Saccharomyces cerevisiae S288C: one gene and its partners. Changing the gene in region 1 together with any one later gene gives a genetic interaction. Each region holds a gene or a part of one and is shown on either strand. Other genes may lie near its edges. The genes, in order: FIS1, ATP20, SSK2 and FAR10.

Region 1 (2,846 bases):
GTATTGTGGAAGATGACAAAAAGGAGGATAAATTCGTGTTTGGTGCCGCATCTAAATTTGGAACTGGGTTTGGTGTTGCCAAAAAGGACACGAAAGATGGAGATGCAACTACCAGTACTGAAAGTTTACCAGCCTCTGACAGCAAAACAAAGAAGCCATTTGCATTTGGTTCAGGTTTATCATTTGGCAGCGGCTTCAACATACTGAAAAACAAAACAGAAAATAACTCTGAAAGTGAAAAGAAAGCTACTGATGTTGACAAAGATAAAGTCCATAGTGGATCTGAACAACTAGCGAATGCCTCAGAAGATACAAAAGACAAACCAAAACCCCTCAAATTGCAGAAACAGGAAGTCAAGTCTGGTGAAGAGTCTGAGGAGTGCATATATCAAGTCAATGCGAAGCTGTACCAACTTTCCAACATAAAAGAAGGCTGGAAGGAAAGAGGTGTTGGTATCATCAAAATCAATAAAAGTAAGGACGACGTCGAGAAGACGCGTATTGTTATGAGGTCTCGTGGTATCTTAAAAGTCATTTTAAACATCCAACTGGTCAAGGGGTTCACTGTGCAAAAAGGATTTACAGGTTCTTTGCAAAGCGAAAAATTCATAAGATTACTAGCAGTAGATGATAACGGTGATCCTGCACAGTACGCCATAAAGACTGGTAAGAAGGAAACCACGGATGAATTGTATAACATTATAGTTAAATCCGTTCCTAAATAAGTAAAGAGAAATAACGTTAAAAATAAATCAAAGATAAAAACAAATCAGTTTTGTTTAACAAATGCTACACTACATATGGTCGCACCCTGGACCCCGCCAAATTGGAAAACAGGGTATTTTATTGTTTTCCACATTTTCAAATTATCAGTCTCTATGATCTTTACTAGTTCATCTTGTGTGAAATTACAAGAAGTGATCAAGAAAATACCGTCTTTTTTCAAAATCCTTTCCACTACTCCGGCGTATACATCGACTACATCAAGTTTACCGTTGATCTTCATGCCACTCAATGAAATGGCATCTAGGGTCCCTTTATCCAACACAATGTCATACTTTCCCGGCTTCCAGTCACCACTAAAGATGTCTGCTTGCTGGAAACTGATGAAATTGTCAACACCGGTGGCCTCGGCTATATTACTAGCGAGTTTGACGCTTTCCTCAGAATAGTCTATCCCGACCAGTTTCCCTTGGAATTCCGTTTGATGCAGTTCAAATAACATGTGTCCATTACCTGTACCGAGGTCTACAACAGAAGCATTCTCAGAAATTCTGTACGCACCAATGTTATCTACCAGAAAATCAATCATCTTTTGTTCAGCATCGCTATCGCTAAACCAACAGTCCCCGGTATCCTGCGGATTCCGCCTGAAATTCTCCAGCTCCAGGGCATACAGTTCATCCCAGTATTTTTTCGTACCAAGTTTCGAAGTGCTCAAATCTGCCGTGCCCTGCATCTGTACTACCTTTTCGGGTTGAGTTCGTTCCATAATACCGTTCTTAAGAGCTGAGCTCATCGATTTTTTTTCACTTCTTTTCATGAACCAATCTTTTTGCGCATTTATGCCGGAACACCGCAAGCGGGCTAGGCTGGACCCCTTTCAAAGCAAAGCTGCCATTGCCACTATTCTGCACAGAAGTTATCATATACCTTGCGTAAAAACGGCACATAGAAGCACAGATCAGAGCACAGCCATACAACATAAGTATGACCAAAGTAGATTTTTGGCCAACTCTTAAGGACGCATACGAACCACTCTATCCGCAGCAGCTGGAGATTCTGCGCCAGCAAGTCGTCTCCGAGGGGGGGCCCACCGCTACCATACAGTCAAGGTTTAACTACGCATGGGGGCTGATCAAATCCACTGACGTGAATGACGAAAGGCTTGGTGTGAAAATCCTCACAGACATTTACAAAGAGGCCGAGTCCCGTAGACGAGAATGCCTATATTATCTGACCATAGGTTGCTACAAACTCGGTGAATACTCTATGGCGAAGAGATATGTAGACACTTTATTTGAGCATGAGCGTAATAACAAGCAGGTGGGCGCTTTGAAGAGTATGGTAGAGGATAAGATCCAGAAGGAAACACTCAAGGGTGTTGTCGTCGCTGGAGGCGTACTAGCCGGCGCTGTGGCCGTGGCTAGTTTCTTCTTAAGAAACAAGAGAAGGTAACAAGCACATAAAAAATCAGCACATACGTACATACATAAGAATGAATCGCACGCACGCGTAAACATTTATCATTTAATCTTCAGTTGTTAGATAAAAAAAAAAAGAAAAGAAAAGAAAGTGAAGGCTTGTTTCAGTTTGAACTAGGTAGCAGAGCAAGCCCTCGTTCTTGGCTGCTAATTTTCCTAAAGTAGTAAAAAAAGCCAAGTTATCTGCCTACGGTTGTCACAGCAACATTGCGTGCCGTTGTTCTTTTGTTTTTTTTTTTTTTTTTTTTTCGTGGTTGTCGCAGCAACGACACCTAGGCGCTGCTCAAAGGGGCAAAAACCCGGTTGCCATGGCGAGGACCAAACGACAAGATGGGAAAAAAACAATAGTCTATTGTTAAATCGTAATACTGTATTGTGAGATGCTGACGCGTTTCGTTTTTCGTGTCAGCGTTCTTTATATTGTTTCGTGTTCTGCTGCAAAACGTATATAAACGCACTGCTATTTTGCCTTCTTTTGCCTTCTTCCTTGCCTTTCTCTCATCTCATATCCAAGTTGAAATAAATATGACAAGCAAGAATAGCAGCAGCAATAAATCAAATACTCCCACACAAATGTACGTTATTAAAAGAGACGGCCGCAAAGAGCCCGTTCAATTCGATAAAATTACCTCCCGTATCACC
Region 2 (2,737 bases), on another chromosome or scaffold:
CATAACGAGGTCGAAGAAGTAAGACAAATTACTGATCAGGATTTAGCAAAAATTCGCGAGGTTGCGGCAAGAGAAGATTTATACAGTTTATTAGCCCGCTCTATTGCCCCAAGTATTTACGAGCTAGAAGATGTCAAGAAGGGTATATTACTTCAGCTATTTGGCGGCACGAATAAAACCTTTACCAAGGGTGGCCGTTATAGAGGTGACATAAATATTTTACTTTGTGGGGATCCTTCTACTTCCAAATCGCAAATTTTGCAATACGTTCACAAAATTACTCCTCGTGGTGTGTATACTTCGGGTAAAGGTTCATCTGCCGTTGGTTTAACTGCTTATATTACAAGGGATGTCGACACAAAACAACTTGTTTTGGAAAGTGGTGCATTAGTATTGTCTGATGGAGGTGTTTGTTGTATTGACGAGTTTGATAAAATGAGTGATTCTACAAGGTCCGTCTTGCACGAAGTCATGGAACAGCAGACTATTTCAATCGCAAAAGCGGGAATTATCACAACACTTAATGCCAGAAGTTCTATTTTGGCCAGTGCTAACCCAATTGGTTCACGCTACAACCCCAATTTGCCTGTGACTGAAAATATTGATCTACCGCCCCCACTACTTTCGAGATTCGATCTGGTCTATCTTGTCCTTGATAAGGTTGATGAGAAAAATGACAGAGAACTAGCCAAACACTTAACAAATCTTTACCTGGAAGATAAGCCCGAACATATTTCTCAAGACGACGTGCTACCAGTTGAATTTTTAACGATGTATATTAGTTATGCAAAGGAGCACATACACCCAATAATCACCGAGGCCGCTAAGACTGAGCTTGTTCGTGCTTATGTAGGAATGAGAAAGATGGGTGACGATTCGAGATCCGATGAGAAGAGAATCACAGCTACCACAAGACAACTTGAAAGTATGATTCGTTTGGCTGAGGCGCACGCCAAAATGAAATTGAAAAACGTCGTAGAGCTGGAGGATGTTCAAGAAGCCGTTAGATTAATTAGATCAGCCATAAAAGATTATGCAACAGACCCTAAAACCGGTAAAATCGACATGAATTTAGTTCAAACAGGTAAATCAGTTATTCAGAGAAAACTACAGGAGGATTTGTCAAGGGAAATTATGAATGTTTTGAAGGATCAGGCATCAGACTCAATGTCATTCAATGAGCTTATAAAACAAATCAATGAACACTCTCAAGATAGAGTTGAGTCTTCTGATATCCAGGAAGCCTTGTCAAGATTGCAACAAGAGGACAAGGTCATTGTCCTTGGCGAGGGTGTAAGGAGATCAGTTCGCCTGAATAACCGTGTCTGATGCTGTCTACTACAATCATTCCCTGCGTAACAATTAATAAATACTAATTAATTATAGCAAGTTTGTATTTTTTACATCCTTATGCTTTGTAACACTATTCAATACTGTATGTAGGCTCGATTGAGTGGGCGGCTTTTTTCTTATTCCTGATTGGCTGAAAGAAAATATTGTTAAACGCACTAAATTTATCCCGAAGGATGATTACATTTAAAGACCGAAAAATGAAGATGCAAAGATCCCTCATATTTTCTACTCCAGTCCAAATCGACAAGATAAACCTGCCGATAAATCATATTTCAGAACGCTAATCAATTCATCATGCTAAGCAGGATCCAAAATTATACCAGTGGGTTGGTTTCTAAAGCAAATCTTTTGTCATCAAAGGCTTTATACTATGGTAAAGTCGGTGCCGAGATTTCAAAACAGATTTATTTAAAAGAGGGTCTTCAACCACCAACTGTTGCCCAGTTCAAATCAGTGTATTCGAACCTTTATAAGCAGAGCCTAAACTTTGCTCTAAAGCCTACAGAAGTTTTATCGTGTTTAAAAAACATCCAAAAGAATGAACTATTAAAATATGGCGCATATGGTATTCAGTTGATAGGGTTTTATTCTGTCGGTGAAATAATTGGAAGAAGAAAATTAGTGGGATATAAACATCACTAAGCTTTTTAATTCTATCTATTCGCAAAACCCTTGTATATTCGTTAATTAAATTAAATCAATGTACAAATAGAACAAAACTAGAAAAAAGAATATATATTCATCTCAATTCTATTTATTTTCTTTTCATGACATACAATGGCATTAAAAGCGATATCGAGTTATATTACATTAGCTTCTTGCCGCCAGTTATTTATGAAATAGGCCAATATAACTTTTCTGTAAAAAAGAAAACTTGACCTCAGAGCTTTCATTACACTTATTAAGAACAACATACTTGTTGCACTATAGTAAAAACTACAGTGAAATTGATCTCAGGATCATTAGTAATTTTTCTCACTATAAGAAAAAAAAAAAAACATATATTTTGCTATGAATTATAATAAGTAAATATATACATATATATGTACAGAGAAACTGACGAAGAAAATAAATCACCCGTTAATGCTTCTTAGGTGCTCTTGAAAGTTTTTATAAACTGAAGAGTCAAACCTAGAAAAGTTATTGTCCAAATCAATGAATGTTTTCGCAATTTGACAGCTTTTATAGTAATAATTGGCATGTTTTCTATCATCAGAGTAAAACTTTTGCTGTGGGAGTTCACCGTTACTATGAACTACTGTCTCTTCATTGCCTGCGTCGTCATCGATACAAAATCTCTTCCTACCCTCTCTGCTTTTTAATTTGTTATCGGGGGAGGGAATAAAGCCCTTGAATAATTCATAGGCGGCCAGAGTGAACCCAA
Region 3 (7,557 bases), on another chromosome or scaffold:
ATGAAAGTAAAAAAGATTACCAATGTTTTATGTTTGGCTATATTGCCCTTATCTATAATGACCTCCTTTTTCATTTCAATGGCGTTCTTGTATATATCAAGAATGAATTATCCAGGCGGCGAGGCTTTAACTTCTTTTAATGACATGATTGTGGAAAAAAATATTACAAACGCTACAGTTCATATCAGCATACCTCCTTGCATGACAGGTGTCACTTTATTTGGTGAATTGAACTACGGTGTGTACGGCATCAATTACGATAAGACTGAAAATACGACTTTACTGCAGGAAATGTGGCCCTCCTTTGATTTCTTGATCACCCACGAGCCAACCGCCTCTCAATTGCCATTCGAGAATAAGACTACCAACCATTGGGAGCTAGTTAACACAACAAAGATGTTTACTGGATTTGACCCAACCTACATTAAGAACTTTGTTTTCCAAGAGAGAGTGAATGTTTTGTCTCTACTCAAACAGATCATTTTCGACAAGACCCCTACCGTTTTTTTGAAAGAATTGACGGCCAATTCGATTGTTAAAAGCGATGTCTTCTTCACCTATAAGAGAATCAAACAAGATGAAAAAACTGATTGATAATAGCTAACGTCAATTCCAATAAAATATATAGCGAGCGTTTTACATTAATCCACCTCGACTAGACTTCAAATTTTCACTTTTATATCTTACCTTTATAAATTTCTGTTCTCAAAATCAAAACAATTATAAAAAAATGCTATCATTAATCTTCTATCCTTGAATTAACATTATATACTCTCCCCCCACTACATTATATTTTGATTTTACATATAATACAACAAACCTTCTCAACTTAACTACTCTCTTTCCTCAGTATCTGTAGAGGAAGAATCGTCGCCAAAGGCTATTTCTCTAATTTGTACAATCCAAGGATCCATCAACAGCTCAACCGCACTGGCTCTCTTGGAGGGGTTTTGAATAAGACATCTTTCCAGAAATTTCATACCAGCAGACGACACTTCATCCTTAGTAGGGAATTGTGGGGTATGTCCTGCAGCAACATGGTACATGATAGCCCATTCATTATCTAAGTTAGCCCATGGCCGTCTACCAGTGATCATTTCTAATACCACGCAGCCTAACGACCAAACATCGTCTGCCCCAAGTTTGCCTTTGGTGGTAGATCCAGTGATGGATTCTGGAGCCATGTACATAGGAGTTCCCATCATGTCTAATAGAGCATTTTCGTTATTTTTCACTGCCTTTGAATCAGAAACATGGGTAACATCTTCGTGTTCACCATCTGCGTTTTCGATTTTGTTCATACTTGCCAATCTAGTTCCATTATTAGCAATTTTTTTAGCAGCACCAAAATCAACATACTTAATAACACCATTAAAATCTAGTAGGATGTTTTCGGGTTTAACATCACGGTGAACAATGCCGGATTCATGCAAATATGCAAGTCCTTCTAGCAATTGTAAAGTGTAGACTTGAGTGACCATTTCATCTTCAATACGACCATGCTCCAAAAGAGCTGCTAGGGAACCGCCTTCACAATATTCCATAAAGATGTTAACTTTATCACGATGAACTTCAACACCGTAATATGAAACTATATTTGGATGGTTCAATATCTCTAAGACACTCATTTCCTCCTTGATTAAGGGGAATATTTTTTGCATTGATTTGCTATCTTGAATATTGATTTCCTTGACTGCTAAAATCTCACCATTATCCAAATCAACAGCAGAATATACCCTTCCAAAAGTACCGCCACCAATAAAGTTCCTCTTTTGCCATCTCATAGAAACGTTCGATATGGAAGATGCCAAAGAAACAAGGTACTTGTTACCTTTGTCACTATCATCAATTACTTTACCAGTTTGATGAGGATTCCGCTTTATCCTTTCTTCCAATTCCATTATACTTTGTACTCGGAACTCGGAATTCACTTGTAGCATCATATCATCGTCAAACACATCTTCCAAATCAAGATTTGATCTAGCTTGTTGATTGATTTTCTCAACTTCTATGGAGCGTGCGCCTATTATATCAAAATGAGAAATAAGTAATGACATGCATTCTGAAATTTTTTGTTTTAAAGAAGAAAATTGGCATTCATCAAGAGCTAGTATGTTCCAACCGCTTACCATATGCATCGCGAACTCCATTGACGTGACACACCACCTAAATACCCTTTGATCAGTCGGATCACAGTCTTCAGCTAAGAACTTCAGCCATCCGATACTTAACCGCATCATTAAAAGTATTATAATGGATCTTTTTTCATTGTTGGCAACATTAATTCTCAAAAAGTTCAGACCAAAATCCCTCCCAAAAAGGAAAATATTATTCAATAAATCATTGACAGGACTTACCTTCTTGAACGTGGTCACAATCTTTGTATAGTTCTTCAGAACACTGTACGTGCATCTGAAATATGCTTTATTTATCCTTTGTAAGTTGTTTTTAACCGTTTCTGAGGAAGATTTTTTTTCCAAGAAAGAAACTGAGCTACCAGATATCTGTTGGAACCTGTCACATTGGTATTCTAAGGCATAACTGGATCCTTGGCACATCAAATCTATTGAATTAGGAATTACTTTCAAGTTCAATCCCTCTGGTTTAATTGTTTTGTTATCGGATAGATTATACATCTCACCCTCCCAAAGTAATGGCTCTTGCGGAGTCAATACCAATACATAACCAAGAGAGTTCAATCTTGTCTCCAGTTCATAAAACTCTTCCTCCGTGCTCCTGCTGTTTTCAAAATCCGGTTCACGATTGACTCTATTACCGTTATAAGATCTAGGCTGGGTGGTCAAATCGTTTTTGATATAATAAAATGGGGTACCATCATTCGAGATATCTGAACCCAGTGATGAGTTGGAGTTCCAATTATCATCCAAAGCATTATAAATTGTCAGACTGTTATTAATTTCTAGCTTAGGCACTAAATCACAACCGATGTCTGAATTCTTAATGATTCTTAAAATATCATCATCTTTACAGCCTAATAGCTCTGGGCTACCAATTAAATAAGTACCATTTTGCTCTAGGTAACCTCCTGTGTATATAAGAAAGTGGCCTGTTTCTTTTAGTTGCTTTAGCAGATAGTTGTGATCTTCTATCTTGTAGCGGACAAAATTTTGAAATGCTTTTGTCAAAATATTGGTGAATCTATTGAGTTTTCTTTTCATGGATCCAAGTATTTCGAATATTTGCACCAGCCATTTTTCAGCAGCAGCTTCATTCTCTAATTTTGGCGGAGTGTTTTGCTGCCTTAAAAGGTAAGCGTGCAATCTGTGAACCAATCTAAGTGTCAACTTCGTAAATTCTGCTGCGATCAGTTCGCCTGCATCATCAATATAATAGCCGACGTTTCTAAACATTTCCCAATATTTTAATAACAGATCAGGTTCTTTAGAAGTCTTGAATGAGTTTTTGCCACTATATAATATTCTCAGTTCCAAAATGGAGAAAAAATATTCCAATCCTTCAACAACGGTATGATCAAATTCGGGATCGATTTTCACTTTAAAAAACCAGTCATTACAGTAAGAAGCAACAGTGAATTTCATTTGGACTGCCAACTTAATATATGTACTAAAATCGTCCATCATTTGATCGATCATCATCAAGGTTGGATTCTGTATTTTCTTCGCGTAAGATAGGCGAATTAGTATTATATCTTTTACCAAACGCATTGGAAACATCAATAAAAATTCCAGATCTTGATCCAAATAAGATAGATTCAATTCATTCCAAGTTTTTTGGTATTTCAAGAAGAAAAATTTGGCCTTCAAAATCCATGGTGCTAATGGAAAGAATATTTTTTTTTGAAATATCAGTTCAATATCCTTTTCCTTCATAATTTGCTCCGCAAAGCGTTTACAATTAGTGGCGAAAACGGCTGGATCATCCAAATTCACGGTGGTGTTATCCACTTCGGTAGTGCTTTCTAGCTCTTTATTGCCAACTATCCATTTTTTCAGGTACGCAATATTAGTATCAAAGTTAAATTTGAAATTAAGCCAACTATTCAAAGTATCTATTCGATTCCTGAATGCTTCTGTTTTAGTAATGGGTTTTTCAGCATGCATTCTTTTAATGTTAGGCCATAGATTTAAGACTCTATAATATTTGTCTACTAGTGATTTGATAGTCTCTGCAGCCTCGTCAGCGCTCATATTATCTTCTAGTTTAAAGGCCATGATTTCTTGAAATACGGAGTCAGTAGAATCCCTAAAAATCCTCAGAGATTTGTTCTGATCTTCCACGGTCCTCCCATTCATCCATGCCTTCAACTCAATCCAAATGTCATCTGAAAACTGAGTATTGAAGCCAGGGCCTTTCCCTTGATTTGCAATCTTCGTTTTTTCATTCCTCACAATATCTCCCTTCAGTACCTTAGATAACATTGTTTGCCATTCAAATCGGTTGTTCACCATAGGATTTTGTAACAATTTTGACAGCAAATCCTCGCTCCCCAGTATGGAATGCCACTCCTCATCTTCTATTTCACACGGTTGATCATTGTTCACATCCCTCAACCAATCCAATTTGCCCTTTAGATAATTTAGGCTCATCGAAACAACATTTTCATTATTTTTTGTGCTCGACGTAATAAAATTATAACCAAAATTGAAGTCGTTATCTTTATCCTCACCTTCTACCTTTAAAAGATCATCCATTTCTAGTTCTAAGTCATCTTCACCTTTGTTACTAAAATTTTCTTCGTCATCTTCAAAGTTGGATGATGCGACTATACCTCTAGTGTAATAATCATCATTAGCACGGTTTCTCATTTTTCTTAAATATAACTGTTCATTTAATACATATTGTTTTTTGTATGTTCGGAGGCTCGTTGTGCTTCCACCATGGTGGCCTACAGACCGTTGCGAGCTATTTGTCGTGACAATATCCTGCAAAGTGGAGGAACTTGTTGACCCATTTGGTTGCGATCTGGTGGGAATGTGTTTGTTCGAAGTTTGGTTTGTAATATTTTGTGGCGTTGACATAATCGATGTATTCGTTGTATTTAGTGAAGCCAGTTCTGGTGATATCACTAACGTTGGGGTCGTCAATAATGGATCTTGATTACTATTCACGGGAGCGGGCTTCTTAATAATCTCGCTCTCTGTTTTACTAGCCTCAACTTTCTTATGTACAGGAACAGGTTGAGTAGACAACTTCGGTAGAGACTGCTGAGGATTTTTTGGTAGAGGAAGACCAATATTCGAGGGCCGTCTACTAGATCTTGCCGAGGAGCTGGAGGACCCAGAAATGGCATTTTGATGAAAAAACTGACCTTGAGGTATACCCGGAAGACGATTGAATAGCTGTACTGTATTTAATGGAGACTCTCCAGGGCTGTAAACAGCGTTTGGTGATCTAAAGTACTGGGTAGAATGCAGCCCTGGGCTGATGGGCGATGACGCTACTCGAGCCTGCGTAGTATTGGAATTTCGCCCTAAACTTTCCGACCTTAGTCTAGATGAAGATGATGAAGATGACTGCCTCATCTTGGAGCTGCTGGGCTTTTCCGTGGAATCGCCGTAAGGCTTATAATTGAAGTAGTCTGAATGCGACATTATTTGTGCCTGTCAAATAGTTTACGCAAAGGCTTCTCTTCTTTTTAGTAATGGCAGACTGTTTGTACTTGAAACTGCCCAATAGTAACTTGAAGGACAGACGGAGCTCACACAAAAGTTAACAAATATGCTGGAACCTTTTTTTTTCCTTTGAATTCTTTGTAAACCAGTAATTCGTTTTGAAAACACCCGTTCTTAGCTGTTCTTTAACAGTACTACTCTCTAAGGCAATAACACACTGGGGCAGCAACAATTACAATCTTCTAACCTCTTCTAATCTGCAGATTTGGCTTCTTTCTATCTCTGTTTACCCACCTTTATCACTCTTTTCAGATTAATCAATTCTTTCCATACAAAGAAACGCCCGAAAAGTGGCGCGAGTTTCCCGGGTGATGGAGCAGTAATTAATAATGCAAAACTGCTAAAATACCCACTGTTTCAGGGTATGAAACGCGGTATTTTCAGCGAGTTGTAGGTAATTTGGAACAGTTCGTGACTGTTTATTAAGTTCCACTCATTGCAGTTGTATCCCCACTGTGTACTTTTATTTTTGGTTAGAGAATTGGCCCAGTAGAGATGGAATTGGACGAATGTTTAGAAAGGCTATACAAGGCCCAGTTACTACCTGAAGTGACTGTAAGGGCACTCTGCTTTAAGCTGAAGGAAATGCTAGTGAAGGAGTCAAACGTGATTCACATTCAGACCCCTGTCACAGTCGTGGGGGATATGCATGGACAGTTTCACGATATGCTGGAGATCTTCCAAATAGGCGGCCCTGTTCCTGATACGAATTATCTGTTCTTGGGCGACTATGTAGACAGGGGGTTGTACAGTGTGGAAACAATTATGCTATTGATTGTGCTTAAGCTTCGATATCCTAGTAGAATTCATCTTTTGAGGGGAAACCACGAGTCACGTCAAATCACGCAGAGCTATGGTTTCTACACGGAGTGCTTGAACAAGTACGGTGGCAATTCAAGAGTTTGGCAATATTTGACAGATATATTTGACTATCTAGTGTTATGCTGTATTATCGACGACGAAATTTTTTGTGTTCATGGTGGGCTCTCGCCCAATGTTCAAACCATAGATCAGATCAAGATTATTGATAGATTTCGAGAAATTCCACACGATGGCGCCATGGCAGACTTGGTTTGGTCTGATCCGGAAGAAAACAATAACCCCACGTTAGATCATCCAGATAACTCTGGACAACATTTCCAGGTGTCACCTCGTGGAGCAGGTTATACTTTCGGAAGAAGCGTGGTGGAGAAATTCTTACGTATGAACGATATGAACAGAATATACAGAGCCCATCAGTTATGTAACGAAGGTTACCAGATATATTTTGATGGATTGGTTACTACTGTATGGTCGGCGCCAAACTATTGTTATCGGTGCGGCAATAAAGCATCTATTCTGGAGCTGTATAGTAAAGATCAATTCTACTTCAACGTTTTCGAAGAGGCACCTGAAAATAAACTGTTGAAAGAGAACAGTATGAACGACAATGCCTTAGAAGATAGCATATCTAATCCGGTAGCCAACAGGAAATTGATTGCAGATTATTTCGAAGACGACTCTGCCTCCGCAGATGGCTCCACGGACCCTGAAATGTACATATTTTCAGATGTATACCAAGCCAGATCTGCTTCTAACAGACATGTTGATTACTTCTTGTAGCTTACTAAACAATAGAAAAGCATTATAGAGACAACGCCATCTTATTATTTCTACATATTCTATCTCTCTCGGTTGCAAATGTATGTATTGTGTATTTAGATCAAAAAAAAAAAAACAGCGCATTTTCTACAGGTAATACAGCTCCAAATTTGTCTGATCATGTACCTCATAATCTTCCAGAGAGATATGGTCTTTTAAAACACTTCCACCCTTCTGCAACACAATTTTGTTTGGTTGGGTGCCAATTTGCAAGGACAATACTTTTTTGAAATCACCTACACTATCTTCAGCAAGGCACTTC
Region 4 (3,854 bases), on another chromosome or scaffold:
CTCGAGATTTGGTTCCTCCAATTGGGCTATCTGGGCCGGTACCATCTGTGCATTGTTAATTCCAACCACTTTAATCCCAGTTTTTGGTGTTATTGGTGCCTCCACCTGTGACAAACTATACGGTGAACAATATTGGATGCCTATGGATATCTTCAACCATTGGTTGACAACTAACTATTCTGCAGGTGCTCGTGCCGGTGCGTTCTTCTGTGGTCTTTCATTTGTCCTATCTCAAATGTCCTACACCATCTCCAACTGTGGGTTTGCCAGTGGTATGGATTTGGCCGGTTTATTACCCAAGTATGTCGACATCAAGAGGGGTGCCCTTTTTGCCGCATGTGTCTCCTGGGCTTGTTTGCCATGGAACTTCTACAACTCTTCTTCTACTTTCTTGACTGTCATGAGTTCTTTCGGTGTTGTCATGACTCCTATCATTTCTGTCATGATTTGCGATAACTTCTTGATCAGAAAAAGACAATACTCCATCACTAATGCCTTTATTCTCAAGGGTGAATACTATTTCACTAAGGGTGTTAACTGGAGAGCTATTGTTGCCTGGGTTTGTGGTATGACCCCCGGTCTACCTGGTATTGCTTGGGAAGTCAATAATGACTATTTCCACAACACTGGTATTGTCAATTTCTTTTACGGTGACTCCTTCTTCTCGTTTTTGATCTCCTTTTTCGTCTATTGGGGACTATGCCTCCTCTTCCCATTCAAAATTACTGTCAAACATGATGACAAAGATTATTATGGTGCCTTTACTGACGAAGAAGCAAGAAAGAAGGGCATGGTTCCATACAGTGAAATTTCTGAAGAAGAAATCCGCGCTTACACATTAGGCGAAGGTTACACTACCGGCCACGAGTACAGACCTGAAGGCTCCGACGATGAAATACCTGAGTTGGTCAAAACTAGCTCTGAAAACACCAATGAGTTTGAAATAGTTCATCATAAGAATAATGAAAAGCAATCCTCCACCGCCAGTGAAAAAGCTGCTTAGTGGGAAATAAAATTGCAAAAAATAATTAAGAATAAAATTTCCCTTTCATTTAATGGCTCTCTGCACTAATTTTTTTACCTACGAAATTTTCCTTCGTTCACACTTAATATTAAATAACAGCTCTTTCCTAATAATAACATATACACTAGATATATAATACCAAATAAATTAAAAAAAAAGAAAAACAAAAAATAACGTAGCTTTGTTACAGTCGTAAAAAAAAGAACAATAAACCAATCTTATTGCCAGCGTCTAACTAGTCCTATTATATTCCAATATATTAAGGGGTAAGGACTACTATTATTCGCCCTGAATTGAAATCTTTTAGAAAGCACCTGTTCTCTCTCTGGTGTTCTTTTTTTCTCATCTATTATCTAATTTCTTCAACCTTCGTTATTTGTTGTTATTCCGTAATCGTGGTGCTCAACTTTTGAAATTTCACTTGTTTACCATAACGGAACATAATTAAAAATTTGTTCTTGAAAGTCACAAGCACTACGTGAACACAAAATTAAGGCAAGAGTGACAAAGTAACCCTCACAAGGAGCCTGTCGTTGGTTATATTGGAAGCTATAGATATAATCGAATCCAATGACTGGTCCTGGACCTGAAATAAATAAGGAGGAGCACCCCAGTTCTCCGGGCAAGAAACAGATAACATATAATAGTATACCCAAGAATGCAAATCTAATTGATGGATCTACGAATTCATCGAAGAGGCCAATTGAAAAGTATGACAAGAGAATAGCCGACCCAACAAAAAGCTATTTTCCACATAGCATATCAAGAACACCAAGGAGAAAATATACTTACATTCTAGTCCTCACATCACTAAATGGAACTTTTGAGAGCAAACATGTGGTGATACCATTTAAACCAGATGGTTTGAAATTGGGAAGGCCTGTTGCTAATAGTAATAGCAGCTCCAGTTCATCGCTCAGGGGCGGTAAAAGAGTGGATTCACACACTTTTTCCCAAGTAAGGTCCGATAATGGTAATTTCGATTCAAGAGTACTCTCCAGGAATCATGCATTGTTAAGTTGCGACCCGCTCACGGGTAAGGTATATATACGAGACTTAAAATCCAGTAATGGTACGTTCATTAACGGTCAAAGAATTGGCTCAAATGACGTAGAAATCAAAGTTGGCGATGTGATAGACTTGGGAACAGATATAGATACGAAAATTGAGCATCGAAAAATAAGTGCCACAGTTGAAGAACTATTTGTACAACCTTTATTAGAATCACCGATTTTTGAAAATGAAGATAGTGATGATTGCCATACAATTACAGAAAAAGAGGAGGCTGCTGCCATAACAAGTCACATATATGGTGATTCCAACAACCTAGAATTGGAAGAAGTTATCCTGGGCTCTGATACAGAAATACTGAGTGGAATTTTTATTAATAATTGTATTGGTACGAGCCCGACTTTATCTAATATCATCAAAACCCTGGCAATGGAAATTCCATTTTCCAAATGCGATAATTTTAAATTACAGTCGATGGAGAATTTCTTAATTAATTATACGACACATCTAGAATACACGAACAAACTTTTAGTGGAAAAAAATGATCAGCAACTGGTAAAGCTGCAAAATGGATTAAGAAGGAAACTGTCGGGGAAATACGAAAAGATTATCGAACAAAACAGAAATCAAGTAAAACAGTTGGAAAGGGACCATATGTTTTTCAAAAAGTCATTTGAAGTGAAGAAAAGAAGAAATAATGAAAAGCAAAAAAGCATGGAAAGGGAAATAGAAGACTTGAAAACTAGGTTAGAAGTGGAACGATATAAGAATTCACAAATGATGAAGAAGAACAAACAGAAAGAACAAGAACTCTCAACTGCATCTAAAAAAAAGACTACCGAACATGACACTAGAGGCGTCCCGGGCATGAATCCTAAGGGTACTGACAAATTTAGCATCAAGAACACGCTATGTAATCATTTCACACTATTAACATTTGGAACTATTTCCATCGGGATTATAGCTATTGTCTTCAAGATCCTTTCCCCCAACTAGCATCGTAAATACAAGACACACACGATCCGCTTTTCACGTCAGAGATTATTATATACGTACGTATATATGTAATAGATATTCACATGTAAAAAAAGGTAAGCATCCTTTCATTTAAGAAAGTATGGGGGGAGTCATCCGTCTCACGGATTCTTTTTCAAAATATTGACGTCGTCAATTTGCATTCTTTCCAAAGTTTTTATTCCTAGCAGCTTTGTCATTTCTTTGACAAAACTAATTGCTACACTTTGCACATTTACAACAGCATCGGGTCGTTGTTCCATAATTGAAGTAGTCAGTGTATTTTTCAAACCGCACATTTCAAAACTATTCATATACGATAGATCTGTATTAACATTAATTGCTACCCCGTGCGATGTTATGGAACGTCTGACGTGTATTCCAACACTAGCAACTTTCTTCTTGCCATTTTCAACCCAAACTCCAGTGTCCTTTGTAGTCATAGCATCTAAGTTCAAAGGCTTGTCAGTGTCGTCGCACATCTTGGTATTCTTCAACGTTCTGATAGTGGCCTGCTCAATGCATGAAACCAAGCATTTAGCAGGGAAACTTTGAAATGTTTTCAAATCTAAAATAATGTAAATAACAATTTGGCCTGGACCATGAAATGTTACTTGTCCACCCCTTTCCACTTGAACAAACTTTGGTCGTGGGTTGTCCTTTTGCGTTTCTGGAATGAAACTTTCATAAGCCGCTATCTGATCTGGCGTCATAGTTTTCTTAATCCTCTTCCCACCTGTATAAGTTGGCTCAAACTCAAACGTTAATATTATCGGATTAGGTTTCATTGCCATAACCTTGTCTA

The links.
Region 2: mutations in FIS1 (region 1) and ATP20 together harm fitness more than expected from each alone (negative genetic interaction), as found in Saccharomyces cerevisiae (4 studies listed by BioGRID).
Region 3: mutations in FIS1 (region 1) and SSK2 together harm fitness more than expected from each alone (negative genetic interaction), as found in Saccharomyces cerevisiae (3 studies listed by BioGRID).
Region 4: mutations in FIS1 (region 1) and FAR10 together harm fitness more than expected from each alone (negative genetic interaction), as found in Saccharomyces cerevisiae (2 studies listed by BioGRID).

The regions. Positions count from the first base shown.
Region 1 is NC_001141.2:240,640-243,485, reverse strand, and holds FIS1 (Fis1p), read left to right. Parts: upstream 1-1,710; coding exon 1,711-2,178; downstream 2,179-2,846. Other genes in the region: YRB2 (Yrb2p), read left to right, coding at 1-725; EFM4 (Efm4p), read right to left, coding at 770-1,459; ribonucleotide-diphosphate reductase subunit RNR3, read left to right, coding at 2,778-2,846. UniProt on the Saccharomyces cerevisiae protein: Has a role in mitochondrial fission. Has a role in outer membrane fission but not matrix separation. Required for targeting MDV1 to the mitochondria.
Region 2 is NC_001148.4:598,223-600,959, forward strand, and holds ATP20 (F1F0 ATP synthase subunit g), read left to right. Parts: upstream 1-1,647; coding exon 1,648-1,995; downstream 1,996-2,737. Other genes in the region: MCM DNA helicase complex subunit MCM4, read left to right, coding at 1-1,329; AGC1 (citrin), read right to left, coding at 2,427-2,737. UniProt on the Saccharomyces cerevisiae protein: Mitochondrial membrane ATP synthase (F(1)F(0) ATP synthase or Complex V) produces ATP from ADP in the presence of a proton gradient across the membrane which is generated by electron transport complexes of the respiratory chain.
Region 3 is NC_001146.8:679,861-687,417, forward strand, and holds SSK2 (mitogen-activated protein kinase kinase kinase SSK2), read right to left. Parts: upstream 5,574-7,557; coding exon 834-5,573; downstream 1-833. Other genes in the region: ALG12 (dolichyl-P-Man:Man(7)GlcNAc(2)-PP-dolichol alpha-1,6-mannosyltransferase), read left to right, coding at 1-594; putative serine/threonine-protein kinase PPG1, read left to right, coding at 6,150-7,256; ubiquitin-like protein HUB1, read right to left, coding at 7,383-7,557. UniProt on the Saccharomyces cerevisiae protein: Kinase involved in a signal transduction pathway that is activated by changes in the osmolarity of the extracellular environment. Activates the PBS2 MAP kinase kinase by phosphorylation.
Region 4 is NC_001144.5:613,161-617,014, forward strand, and holds FAR10 (Far10p), read left to right. Parts: upstream 1-1,594; coding exon 1,595-3,031; downstream 3,032-3,854. Other genes in the region: thiamine transporter THI7, read left to right, coding at 1-1,003; lipoyl(octanoyl) transferase LIP2, read right to left, coding at 3,172-3,854.